Linked DNA regions of Oryza sativa Japonica Group. The protein of the gene in region 2 binds, or shares a complex with, the protein of the main gene of each other region. Links are inferred from orthologs where the notes say so. Each region holds a gene or a part of one and is shown on either strand. Other genes may lie near its edges.

Evidence for each region.
Region 1: large ribosomal subunit protein cL37 (region 2) and large ribosomal subunit protein uL10c share a complex: the UniProt entries of both Arabidopsis thaliana proteins name them as parts of the 50S ribosomal subunit. The link is inferred for Oryza sativa Japonica Group from reciprocal best matches to the Arabidopsis thaliana genes PSRP5 and EMB3136.
Region 3: large ribosomal subunit protein cL37 (region 2) and uncharacterized protein share a complex: the UniProt entries of both Arabidopsis thaliana proteins name them as parts of the 50S ribosomal subunit. The link is inferred for Oryza sativa Japonica Group from reciprocal best matches to the Arabidopsis thaliana genes PSRP5 and emb2184.
Region 4: large ribosomal subunit protein cL37 (region 2) and large ribosomal subunit protein bL27c share a complex: the UniProt entries of both Arabidopsis thaliana proteins name them as parts of the 50S ribosomal subunit. The link is inferred for Oryza sativa Japonica Group from reciprocal best matches to the Arabidopsis thaliana genes PSRP5 and RPL27.

Annotation. Positions count from the first base shown.
Region 1 is NC_089037.1:9,831,723-9,834,720, forward strand, and holds large ribosomal subunit protein uL10c, read right to left. Parts: upstream 1,504-2,998; 5' UTR 1,443-1,503; coding exon 780-1,442; 3' UTR 657-779; downstream 1-656. UniProt on the Arabidopsis thaliana protein: This protein binds directly to 23S ribosomal RNA.
Region 2 is NC_089035.1:9,871,094-9,874,461, reverse strand, and holds large ribosomal subunit protein cL37, read right to left. Parts: upstream 1,994-3,368; 5' UTR 1,948-1,993; coding exon 1,839-1,947; intron 1,139-1,838; coding exon 816-1,138; 3' UTR 666-815; downstream 1-665.
Region 3 is NC_089035.1:25,929,262-25,932,390, forward strand, and holds uncharacterized protein, read right to left. Parts: upstream 1,596-3,129; 5' UTR 1,512-1,595; coding exon 1,422-1,511; intron 1,314-1,421; coding exon 996-1,313; 3' UTR 735-995; downstream 1-734. UniProt on the Arabidopsis thaliana protein: Binds the 23S rRNA.
Region 4 is NC_089035.1:41,095,391-41,099,442, reverse strand, and holds large ribosomal subunit protein bL27c, read right to left. Parts: upstream 2,639-4,052; 5' UTR 2,556-2,638; coding exon 2,247-2,555; intron 1,449-2,246; coding exon 1,347-1,448; intron 1,262-1,346; coding exon 1,085-1,261; 3' UTR 793-1,084; downstream 1-792.

The DNA.
Region 1 (2,998 bases), on a different chromosome or scaffold from region 2:
CACATCCTTATCCATTGGGCGAATGATATTGGCATATTGACATGCCTGGTAGTCACTCCTGCAAAACTACAACTATCACTCAAGTACAATAACCTAGGACAATACCATGACTGTCAGAAGAAATCAGTATCAAACAAATAAGTGACCATGTGATCATCAATTTTGCCAATTCTATTCTTGATCCACTGCGCGTTCAGACAGAAATGATACAAATTAGGTATGTGGTGAGCTGGTGACCAACAGTAAGTTTCAGAAGCTAATTCAGAAGAATTTCCAACTCTAATTAGTGTTATTCTGTTACTAAAAGATGAATTAATCATTTAATTTTGTTCACTTCAAGGAGGTTTGCTCTTAACAAAAAGAGCACAGTTAAGTTCATGATTTTAAAACATCTCATCATACTGCTTTGAACAACTTTGTTGTAAACCTGGATACACTGATTGATGGTACAACTACACAAGCACTAGTAGTTATTGACCATTCTAATTGTGCATTGCCATTGCCCCTCAACCTACTAAACTTTGATCTCTGTAGTCTCTACAGGTAAAATTAAATTATCAAAACACTAGTTGTGGAACAAGCATTCCCTCTAAGTACGCAACGTAATCCTAATAACATCAGAACTCGGTAATCTTATGAAATCAGACCAGTAGGCATGCGTTGTAAGAGGTAAAACTTTTGTGATTCAATTCAAACGTGAGGCAGTAAAAGTACAGGAATTCTACAAGAAATGAGTGAGATGAGAGAAACGAAGCCACAAAACCATCTCTCAACAGCCATCAGGCGGCGCCGACCTCCTGCTCGAGCTTGCGCACGTACGCCGAGAGCACGGAGACGACGTCCCTGGCCGGCGCCTGCAGCGTGGTGACGACGGAGGTCGCGGGCCCCTGCAGCGAGCCGAGCAGCTTGGCGTACACCTCGGCGCGGCTGGGCATTGTCTCGAGCGCCTTGAAGTCCCCGGGGGCGTAGAACTTGCCCTCGAACACCGCGCCGACGAAGTCGTTGGTCTCCTCGAGGCGCTCCTCCTTCTGGAAGGCGCGGTAGGGCTTGAGCGCGGCGGGGACCTCCTCGGTGTGGACGAACAGCCACGCGTTCATCCCCTTCATGCACGGCTTGAGCGCCTCCCACGGCGTGCCCTCGATGGCCTTCCCCACCAGCGTGTTCTTCGCCACCAGCAGCCGGCAGGTCTCCGGGAGGGTGTCGCGGATGCCCTGCAGCTGCTTCACCGTGAGGCCCTCGTAGCGGATCCCGGCGAGGAGGTAGCAGCCCTCCAGCTGCTCGCGGACGGCGGCCACCGTGTCCTCCTTGCGGCCTCGGGTGATGGCCGCGCTGATGGTGGAGCGGCGGAGCGGGCGGGGGCGGGGGCGGGGTGCGAGGGTCTGGAACGCCGGGAGGGGCTTCGCGGTGGGGAGGGTGGTGCGGAGGAAGGAGGAGGTCTCCATCTTCGGAGGCCGGGAGCTATGGCGGGTTGGGAGAAAGAGTGGAGTGGGAGAGCTTATCTGTGGGGAAGATGAGGCGGGGGGCTCACTGGATTATGTGGGACCGTATCGTCAGTGCCTGAGAAGATGGTGAACTCAGCTCGGTCAGCTGCACAGAAAGAAGCTTCCGTGGAGATTGACCTTTGCTTGAGGATTTATAGCCGTTCGATCTTGATCCATGAGCGGTTGAAAATAAGATTAAGAGTTCCAAATAAAAAAAAATAGAGGCATAGAGCAAACGCGTATGTGTGGTATTCATAGACGTCAATTTAAACCATAGTGAGTGAAGTCGTGTACCAACAACTCCAATCTTCACTGCCTTGTTCAACACAGCATACATCACTATTGTTTTCTTGAGTTCAAAAACTCTTGATATGTACAATAAAACATAACATACATCAGTGTACTGAATTATTCAACACAATAGATATCACTATATAAGAAAATGACAGCGATTAGGCGCCCGATCAGCGGTAGAAAAATCGGGCGCTCGCCGCCTCCCGCACGCTCCCACCCCTTATGCGTTGTCCCCCCCCCCACGTGCCCCACCACACGCGTCGTTATAACAAATCACCCGCACATTAAGGAAATACTTTATTAAAGGAATCCGTTTCATTTTTTTTTCCACCAACAATGTTTTAGCAAGTGTACTCGTGATGTTTCACTATGTATGATCAAATGTTGCAATGATTTGAAACATCCTTTGCTATTTGCTGAAATATTGTTTTTATATAGGATGAAACAATGCCTGATTTTTTTTTGGAAACTGTTGTTTCATATGTTGTAACAAAATATTTCACGATGTGATTTGGTTGTGTTTCAGCTTTTTTAAAAATATTGAAACATTTTCGATCTATTTAGTGAAACAATGCCTGATTTTTGTAAAAAATCGAGCGCCCGATTTGTAGATGCATCACTATATATATATATATATATATATATATATATATATATATATATATATATATATATATATATATATATATATATATATATATATATATATATATAATTCAAACTTTTTTTTACAGGTAAGAAAACCATGCGAATCTCTTGTACGACGATCAAAATGGATATAAACATTGCAAGGATGTCAGGTGGAAAGGATATAAACTGCGACGATCAAGCAACAGCAGCTGCTCTGATGCTGTAAACACGGAGTTGTTCCGGACTCAGCATGCTCAACGCAATTTCACAGAAAACCAAACATCCGATGCTTACCATTCTCTCCATAACTCGTGTGCACTTCAAGCCATCCCTAACATGAAATGATGGTTTTGATAATGGAAGTGTATAGTTCATATAATAATGTCATTGGTAGTACTGAAATCCAAGAAATAAGATGCAGGGAAACAAGAACGTCTGGTACAGGGTGAAATTCACTTTTAGCTCTGCTGCAGCTCTGCTGCCCTGAAACCCTGACGATTCTACATATATAATGTCCGGCCTATCTCTCAGCCAGGAAAAAAAAAATACTATAGCGCATCAGCATATTTTCTGATGTCCCAACTTAAACAAGT
Region 2 (3,368 bases):
ATGCTGAAAAAGGTCAAAAACATAGTCAGCTACGGCCATGTTCAGTTCCTACGATAGAGAGATTACAAATTTTGTTTCCACAAAAAACATCGTGGTTAACATTTCAAGAACTTGTGACGGTACACCATCAAGTCACAAAGATGGCTCAAGAAGGCTAAATTTCAGATAAATTTTACAACCACATCAACAGGAAGGGCATCAGAAAAAAAATCGAAAATGGCACTCTTCAGATTGTTCACATCGTGCCTGACAAAGTGGCAAACAACAAACAAACCCGAATTTGCTCCAGTTATTTCCTTGTCCAGGTTGATCCTTTGTGCTTTAATCAACATCAGGTCAGACGAAAGAGTTGTGAGAGGCCCTAACAAAACACATCATGGAAGTGTATATACAGGCAAATACCTCACAAATATAGAGTGCAGCACAGCAAGGCTTCTTGAAATTTGCTATGATTTTGAGTTTTTGACAAACACAGAAGGCATCAAGGTGCATATGATATTTCCACTATGGGAACACACATTAGATTTAGTGGTACTTCTGTAGGACAGCTAAAGCCTAAAGGAGAAAAAGGAGGGACATGTTAGAAGAAAATTTGTTCAGTACTGGGCTTTGTGTGTTTTTAACGGTGACCGGTTTATCCATTATCTAAAAAATACAAGATGAAATTTCATCGGGAAAGAAATAATCACATTTTGCAAACATTGTGTTTCATATTTTGAACAGCAAAATTCGCTGGGCATCAGCTTAGGAAATACAGAGACGGATGAACAGAACATAGAGGTGTACAGAAGAACAGCGACCGACATCACTGCTGGTTAGACGTTCTTGAGCTTCTTCATCTTGGATGGTGGCCATCTACCTTTCTTCCTCAGCCGCCTCTTCTGGACAAGCCTCCTGCGCCGCTGCCTCAGCTTCTTGGCCAGCTTCATCTTCGCCCTCTGCTCCATGATCATCTTCTGCTTAGTTTCGAGCGGCATTGTCTCAATCGAAACCGTGGGTTTTGGCTCCTCTGGTTGATCTGTGCCAGCTTCTTCTGCGCCAGCCTCTGCCGAGGCATGGACAGAAACTAGCCTCTTCTTGGTGAAAGAAGCATTCAGAGGGCTCTGCGAGGAGAGATTCTTGCACTGGAGCCTTGGGGCTGTAGCATCAGAAAGGACAAATGGCAAGCCTCAATGTGCATCATTTTAGATATAGAATTCAGAGTACATGCATGCTACTTTCAAAATTTTGATAGAATCTCCGTCATATAAGAAACTTGAAAGCTAATAAGTCTAGCTCATGTGTGCCACTTCATGGATAGTATATAGTACAATAACTAGTAACAATCCTAGTGTTCTCAATTACATATTATGATGAATCTTAGCAGAGCACAGATATGTAAAATCTACTCATCTATTAACAATCAGGCCCCAAATGTAGGGTGTACTACGAATGTCACCCTTTGCCAGTGACCGGTGCTTACATAGCATCTGATATTATCATTTAAGCACGAAAGAACCAAAGCTTCGAGAATCTGCAGAGTTCACTGAGATGAATTATACCTAGCTTTGTACAGAGATGATAAATGCACGGAATCTCCCACGAATTACTGCATCTGCACACGACGTGTTTGAAGAAATTCCCTAACGAGCCAACCGCATCCCAGAGAATCAGAAACGCCACGAATCACCAACGTCAAATATCTAGACCAATCCTCCCACCGAATTACAAATCACACCTCACAACAATGGATAGCCTCGTACCCACTCAGCATAATCCAATCCAAGAACCAACACCCCACAACCCGAGTAACTTATGCGCAAAAGTCCCGGTACGGAGAAGGCGTTCACGGAGGTTACCGGGGATGGTGGAGGCGACATTGGCGGAGGCGGGGAGAGCTCTGGCGCGAGGCGGGGAGGCGGAGGAGGAGGCGAGGAAGGAGACGGTCGGGGAGAGGAGCAGCGCCATGGCCACGGGCAGTGTGGGATTCGGCTTCTTGGCCCGTCGTCAGCCTATCCACCCATCAGCCCGGAGGGAGGAGATAAGCCTGTGCTGCTGTGAGCGCTCCGCCGTCCGATGGAGAATCAACGGCCAGATTTAATCTCCGTCAAGTAAGGCTGCTTGGCAGTTGGCCCACATGTCATAGGTGGAGAGAAATTTTGATTTTGATTTTCTTTTTCTCCTCTCGCCGCCTCCGCCGCCGCCGCGGGTGGCGGCGACAATCCGCATCGGCGGCGTCCCCTCCGCCCGGCCGCGCTCGCCGTCGCGTCCTACGCCGCCGCCGGCCGCCACATCCTGCGTTCGACGTGGATAGCAAGAGGTGGGGGAGCTCGCCGACGACAAGAACCTCCCGTTCGACGGCCAAGCGGGTGCCCATCGGTGATGAGAAGAGCAGCTAGCGACAACCTCTTCGTCTCCCACTCCAAGCCGAAGCACGCGCCGGCGCCGCCGTGTACCGCATCAAGAATGTCTCCTCCTCGTCGTCGCCGTCGCCGTCGCCGTCGCCGGCGTAGAGCAGTTTCAGCATCGAGGACGAGGAGGTGTCTGTACAGGAGCTGCTGCCAATGGTTGATCCGGGTCGTCAGCTCTCGTGCGCCATTGGGGATGGAAGCTTCTGCTCCTTCAGCTCGCGGACACCCATCAAGATTATGGAGCGTGCAGAGATCCTCCAGCCGAGCGTAGCTTCGACATGGACATCAATGCTGCCGGAGAGGAGGATGAGGATGATGCACGAGCCATCGTTGTATCAGTGTCAGAGAAGATTTACAGAATCTACGACAAGTCTCGCAGGCTGGCTCGCAGGGTTCAAATTTCCGGTTCGACCAAAGTTTTTTTTATTCTTTTGTGTGAATTTAGTAATATTTATTCAAATTTGACCAAATTTTGTTCGAAAATTCAAATAATTCTGGACCAAATTTCGGTATATCAGCACCCCAATACAAATACTGAAAACGAAAAATTGAACCATGGGCTCGCCAAGCGCCACTGATTGCTACATTGTTTATCTAAGAAAGCTTTGAGTGGGGTCGGAGACGCCTTGCGACAACATTGGCAAACTCCTCTTTGTGGGAACGACGACGACAGTTGGAGATGGTACAAAAGCGAAATTCTGGGACTTTGCTTGGTTGCAAGGGAGAAGGCTTAAGGAAGTTGGCCCCTCTGGTCTAAGCGACTTTCTGGAAGAAAAACAGAACTCTACAGTAGGCCACCAAATCTGGCCAATGGCTACTCGACATCAACCTATCGGCGATTGCAACTAGGATGACCAAACTAATCAGTCAGCTCGTCACTGTCTGGAATGCAGTCCAAGAAGTGCATCTCGTAGAGGGCGAGGAAGACACGACCACTTGGAAGCTAACCAACCATGGTGAGTATATGGTGGCATCAGC
Region 3 (3,129 bases), about 16 Mb from region 2:
AGGTTAGACAAGTTTAATCATGTTAGGTGAGTGTTTATTTGGGTTCCACAAATGTGGCAAGATTCCTCTTTTATAATCTAGATTTCACATGTAAGTGACTCTAAAAAGTGTGGCATGCTTTTATTTTGGGCCTGTTTAGTTGGTGAAATGAAAATTTTTGGGTGTCACATCGGACGTTTGACCAGATGTTAGAAGGGGTTTTCGGACACGAATAAAAAAAAACTAATTTCATAACTCGCCTAGAAACCACGAGACGAATCTTTTGAGCCTAATTAAGCCATCATTAGCACATGTGGGTTACTGGAAACCACGAGACGAATCTTTTGAGCCTAATCAAGCCGTCATTAGCACATGTGGGTTACCGTAGCACTTATGGCTAATCATAGACTAATTAGACTCAAAAGATTCGTCTCGCGATTTACATGTAAACTGTGTAATTAATTTTTTTTATCTATATTTAATGCTTCGTATATGTGTCCAAAGATTCGATGTGATGTTTTTGCGAAAAGTTTTTGGGAACTAAACATAGCCTTTATTGGCTAGAGCGTGGCTTGGATTTTGATGGCCTCAACTTTAGCGAGAAAACATGGTAAACCTTAGCAATGTTAGTACGTGAACTAACAGCCCCTTACTGCTTATTCTGAAGACCGGACAAACTGATGTATGCAACGATTCTATTCGAGAGCCCAGACCAACACTAGCATGCATCGATTCAACGAGTTGGAAATGTCCAATTACAGAGTGTGCAAATTGCAATATCTCCATTTTATATCGATGTCAAAGAGTACAGGCAGAGAACAAACAGTTCGATACCACAAATATGATCACACGTATCCACTGAGAACACCGATCGAACACCTAGAGAGCAATGCGAATGCACGTGTAACGAGAGGCGCAAGCAAGAGGAGCTAATCCATTTTACGCAATTCCCAAAATCAACCAAGAGAAACCGCACCGGCGAGGCCGGCGGCGGAGGCGAGAGGCGAAGCGGGGGCTCAGCTGGCGCCGGCGGATCCCTCCTCCTCCGGGTCGAACTCCGGGTCGCCGTCGGGGTGCATCTCCCTCCACTGGTCCTCGGGCCAGTACTCCTTGATGTGGCCCCACTTCTTGCGGAACTTCTCGATCTGGCTGTCCATGACGACCATCGCCGACGTGTCGCCGACGTAGTAGGGGTGGTTCCCCGACCACACGTCCACCGTGTACTCCGGCTTGGTTCCCCCCGTCACCAGCACCAGCTCCCCGTTGCAGTACACCTTCGCGTCCTCGTAGATCTCCGGGTGCAGCCCCTTCTTCCGCATCGAGCACCGCATCCTCTGCACGGCAAATCGTCACACCACCGCCCAGTTCCAATCACCTCCTCCGAATCTCCGATTCGGCGGCGCTACGCCTACGCGGTTGTGGGGGCATCGAAGGAATCGTACCTGGGAGGGGACGAGGGAGCGGAGGGTGGTCCTCGTGGCCGCCGCGGCGGCTTGGGTCGGGAGGAAGGAGGTGGAGAGGGAGAGCGCCATGGCTGCTGCTTCCTCGCGCGCTCGCGTCGCACTTTGCTCCGGATTCCCCTGTTTCGTGTCCCTTATCGGTTTCTGGTGTGTGTTATCCTCTCAAGCGTTGATGATTCTCAATTTTTGAGGCTTTGGTGCCGTGCGGGTGGCCGCTCGCCTGCCTCGCTTTGGCTGGGCTTTCTTAATTGTTGTTTGGTTTGGGCTGATACACGTTGGTTACTTACTGGCCCAGAAAAAAAAATGTATGCAATTATTTCGTTTACGTGGTAAAAATATGCAGAATTCCTAATTCTCGCATACGCGCCGCGGGCGCGCACTTCTGGCCCACGCGTATGCACGGCACCGCACGGGCGCGGTTAGATTCTTTCCATAGCGCATGTAGTAACTAGTCCATTAGTTTTAGCGTGTAAAAAAATACATTAGTTTTAGATAATCAAGATAAGATTTGTTTTTTCCGAAAATTTTTTAAAGTAACAGATTGAAAAGAAATTTATACATCAAGTCAAATTCTGAAAACTTTCAACCCATATTTGAAAACTTTCAACTCGAAATTTGAATTTTTTTTAAAGTCAAATTTTGAAAACTTTCAACTTTTCATCTCAAATTGAAAAAATTCAACTCAAATTTAAAACTTTCAACTCAGATTTGAAAACTTTCAAGTCAAATTTAAAAACTTTGAAGTCAAAATTTAAAACTTTCAACTCTACATTTGTAAAGGGGTGTGCGAAAGATTAAAAAAATAGAAAGAAATGGCGAAAAAAAAGAAAAACGCACCCGGATCCAGGCGCCAAAATCGTAAAAAAAAAGTGAGAAAGAAAAGCACGCGGGAACAGGGGAGGGGGCCAACTGACGCGGGCGCCAGCTAAATTGCTAGCACGTACGTGCGCATTAGCCTCCCCAAAGATATGGGTTAATTGGATCATGTTATTGCAAGTTTACCAATTTGCCATTACTATTCACGATATCAGGTTCATGCCACTGAAATTTTGCAAAATTTGAGCTATGCCACTCCGTTACAACAACTGTCAATACCTCTGTTAGCTCAACACCGCACAACGCAGATCAGTTTCTTCTTCAACTCAGGCGAAAATCTGGCGGTTCTCAGGCTCGTCGACGACTGCACGGAGAGAGCTTCTTCGATGAGGGCGTTGCCAATCCGGTGACGATTGCAAGCTTAATACCCAATGAAGGGAGGTGGAGCTGGAGGGGAGTGACGGTCATGAACCCTGCATCGCTGGTGGAAGGTGGAGGGAAGCGCCGAGCCCAACCCATGCGTTGGAGGGGAGTGGCGGTCACAGACCCCACGCCGCCGGTGAAAGATGGAGGGGAGCGCTAAGCCTAATCCCCGCACTGGAGGGGAGCGGCGTCTAGAACCGTCATCTTCCTTGCCGGTGGAGCCCCACGTGCCGCGGCCAATGAATCTACAGTTATATTGGGATGGAGACCCGCCACCTCTTCTTCTCCCCCATTGTCTTCCTTGCTGATAATGCCCCCATAAGCTGTGGCCGACGACACTATGGTGGAGCCATGGAGGCAAGGTTGGGGACGGAGACCCGCACCACCTCTTCTTCCCTACCGTCGCATGCGATGACTCCACGCTGTGCGCTGAGCCCGCCGCCATCGTCGA
Region 4 (4,052 bases), about 31 Mb from region 2:
ATTTGATGAACAGATGACGATCAATACCTAATCCACAAGCTTCCTTAAAGAAAGAAAAAGTCTAAACTTTCTCTAATAATCTAAGGATATGGCATATGTTGGTTGTTCCCCTCGTTTGAGTGGAACTAATTACCACCATCTTTTCTTTTGTTCTTGAGTGATAACCGCAGAATATCACGGTACTATTTTTTTTTCTTTGATGAAGTGGTTATCTATCGTCTTCAAGTGCTGACAATCCGATTGATCTTCAACATATTGTGCTGTTTCTACAATACTAGCAGTGCCCAACTGCCCATGACAGCGATGAAATTGATTTTCATAATAGTGAACCTAAATGCATCCTATTTTTCCTGGTAAAAGATGTTCCTTTGAGATGTATGTCAAAGTTGTGAGCGAAAATTGGAGGAAGGATGCAGGCGTAGAACTTACCATCCCAATCACCAACTCACATACTTTACGTTGTAGAGAGTAGAGATAGTAGGTCCCTCAAGAAGGAATCAAGGAAATGCAGATGTCTCATTGCAGTCTTGCGGCAACCAAATCAATTAAGAGGCTGAAACCCCACTACAGCCCTACATGCCAAAAGAAACTACTTTTGCAAGAACCTCTTGTAAAGTAGTTTCAAATACGGCCTGAACCATATATCATACCCCCAGTGATGATGTTGATCCATTGCAAATTGCAATTCCACATGAATACCACTACTTTCAAGCATCAGATCAGCCCACCACAACACCCATAACACAATTACGTGGAACTTGTGGTACCGGAATACTGGAATAGACCCATCCTAGTCCCTAAAGCCTAGCTGCCAGGAAAGGTACATGCATACAACAAGTCGAACAGGACTAACCAATGAGTTGAACATGGGCCTTGTATTCATCTCACTGTTGATGATTCAGTTGGAATAGACCCGCCCTAGTTCCTAAAGCCTAGCTGCCAGAAAAGATACAGCAAGCCGAACATGGCTAAACAAGGAGTTGAAGATGGGCCTTGTATTCATCTCATAGTTGATGATTTACATTCCAAACATTGTTATCAAACATGGATTGCGAAAATGGAGAAAAACGGGGCAGAGAACTTATCAGCAGTCTGCATTGACCTCAGGACTTTCATCTGCAGCTGCCAACACCAATTGCACCTCAACAATTCCCTCTGCTCTTGCCTTTTTGCGTTCACGCTGCATGCGGAAGTACTCTCTCTTTCTTGCTCTGTAACTGTTTGGGTTCTCAGGTTGTTTCTCGTATGGGTAAACACTTACCTGTAAAAGAAAAGGCAACAGAAAACCACTTAGATACAATTATAAGTAGATGCTGACAAGTTATAGCTAGGATGCAGACTTTCACCTTTTTCTTGTCTGGTCCATATTTCTCGAACTTTACGAGGCCATCGATCAAAGAAAAGAGGGTGTGATCCTTGCCCATTCCAACATTATTTCCAGGATAGACCTAAAATGACCAATGAAAATGTATAAGAAAAAGCAAGAATATGTCCGTAAAATGTGAAATTACTGTATGAAACGCAACTGCTCATAACATGTAGAAACATAGACTATTGCAGAGGGTGTGTGTGGTGGTTCAGGGATAAACTTCAAAGAAGTTGCATATGCATTACTGAAACAGCGGGACAAATGCCAGAACTTGGAAAGTACATCGAAAGGATGCATGCATGCCTTGCAATACGATACAATACATAAGAGGAAGTAGTTTAGCAGCACATGCAACTGTTTTTACAGGATACACACATTTATGTAGCACATTCTTGTGCTATGTTAGTTCATGGATGTGAAGAAAGTAACTATCAGTTGAGTCTTTAGTGCAGAAACAGCACGTCCTAATATCAAAGTGTACTTCCTCCTTTTCTCTCTGCATTGCATTAGAGTGCCTGAAACATCTAGTTCCCCTGAAGTCTGAAGAGTGTGTAATTCTTGGCCACATCCCACGATATTGGTAAGAATGTACCACATGCGGCCACGTCTTAGCAAACGGGTGGCGTTGCATAGAATAACAGACTTTCTCTAGGACCAACTTTGGAACACGATCATTGTCATGCCTTTTTGTTAAAGAATATTCACACCATTCCTGAACTCTGAATTGTGCAGATGTTAGTTAACACAACAACCTCACCTAAATTCACAAATTGTTCAGAGCTGGACGAAGCTATACTATCAGTCAAAATTTGAGGAGAAAAGTCGAACACATGAAACATCCAAGAACCAGTAAGTAAAGGAAGAGGATGGTGATGACCCTGGTGCCGCGCTGGCGGATGATGATGGCGCCGGGCTTGGCGACCTGGTCGCCGTAAATCTTGACACCGAGGCGCTGCCCGGGGGAGTCCCTCCCGTTCTTGGTGCTCCCGGCCCCCTTCTTGTGCGCCATCTGGATCGTCAGCCGCCGCACCGGCATCGTCATCGGCACCCCCATCCCGACCCCGCCGCCGACGGAGAGCGAGACACGGTCAGCGCGGAGGAAGGAGGCGGAGGAGGAGGAATGGCACGGGGAGGAGAGGGACATCCCCTTGAATGCTCCCACCAGTGTGAACGCCATGGACGCCATTGCGCTCTCGAGCAGCGGCGGAGTCGCGAGGAGAAGAGAAAGAGAAGATAGAGTGTGGGAGCACAGCGGCGAGGTGATAACGTGGGAGTGGAGAGGAAGACGTGGGCTCTTTTTTTTTGGGTCGGGATCACCCATTTACGGCCCATCACGCGGTTGGGAATCCCTTTCCGGCCCACGTACTTTGGCCCAGCACACGTAAGCGGGAGGGAATGACGCGCCGGCCCAGCACGTGGGTGGGAATCACGTGCCGGCCTACCGCAAAGCCTTTGTGGGCCCGATGTTGTGGGCTTCGTGGAAACGCGAGGAAAAGGGCCGGCCCATACATCTCTTCTTTTTCTTTTTGCTGGACAAAATTAGATGGAATTACTTTTTTTTTTCAGTTACATTGCAGACGCACCCACGCACACACTATTACACAAGCAACACCACACTCATAGCCCTGCGAATGTGTCCCTTAACATGCGCTCTAAGAGAGAGAAACTAGCGGAACATTACTAATTAATCTCACTAAAATCTTGTTGAAAGTCCACTTGCATATGCGTAATATTCGTGGGCGCTAGGATTTGAACCCTGGAGGATAAAATCATATACCCACAACTCCACCACCACATCACTTTCGCTTCCCAAATTAGATGGAATTATAGTATTGAATTAAACATTACGGAGAAAAAAAAGAGAAATATATTAGCAGAAGGTAACATGGAGAAAAAAAATAGAGAAATATATTAGCAGAAGGTAACAGAAAAGACCAAAAATGAATCATGAATTTCAAAGAGAGAGAGAGAGAGAGAGAGAGAGAGAGAGAGAGAGAGAGAGAGAGAGAGAGAGAGAGAGAGAGAGCATAAGTTGTGATTCTTGTGGCGAAAACAACAAATCAACAATATTTCCTGGAGATTGAAGTCACTTTGCGAGAGGGAGGAGAGGAGTGGAGTTAGGGCCACCAGAATTCCAGAAAGCATATGAGATGGAAGCTAGAAGAAGAGGAGGAGGAGGTGTGGATGAAATCTGAATTGAGTGTGTGGATGAAGTGAATCGAAGAGCCCCAATTGTGAGCAAGAATGATGGCGGGCTTGACTGCAAAGGCAAAGTAGGCTGGCTGGGGATTGATTCCTTGTTGTTGTTGTATGGACACACCACCCCCACCGGCCATGCCCATGCATGATTCATCCTTGACAAAGTGTGCCTCGCTATGGAGTGTGGATCTGTGGATCCAATTATAGCTAGCCCTCCTTAACCCCACCATCCGTTTTCCACTGTTCATCTTCAATTCATGATTAGCCCCCCCCCCCAAATTTTGATTTAGATTATTACCACAGATTATCTACTTAATTATAGGAATAAATTGTATACTATCTTCATTTTTTAATATATGACGCCGTTGACTTTTTCTCACACATTTAACCATTCGTATTATTTAAAAAGAATTACTTAATTATAATTTATTTTGTTGTAAGTTGTTTTATCACTCAAAGTACTTTAAACATGATTTATATCTTA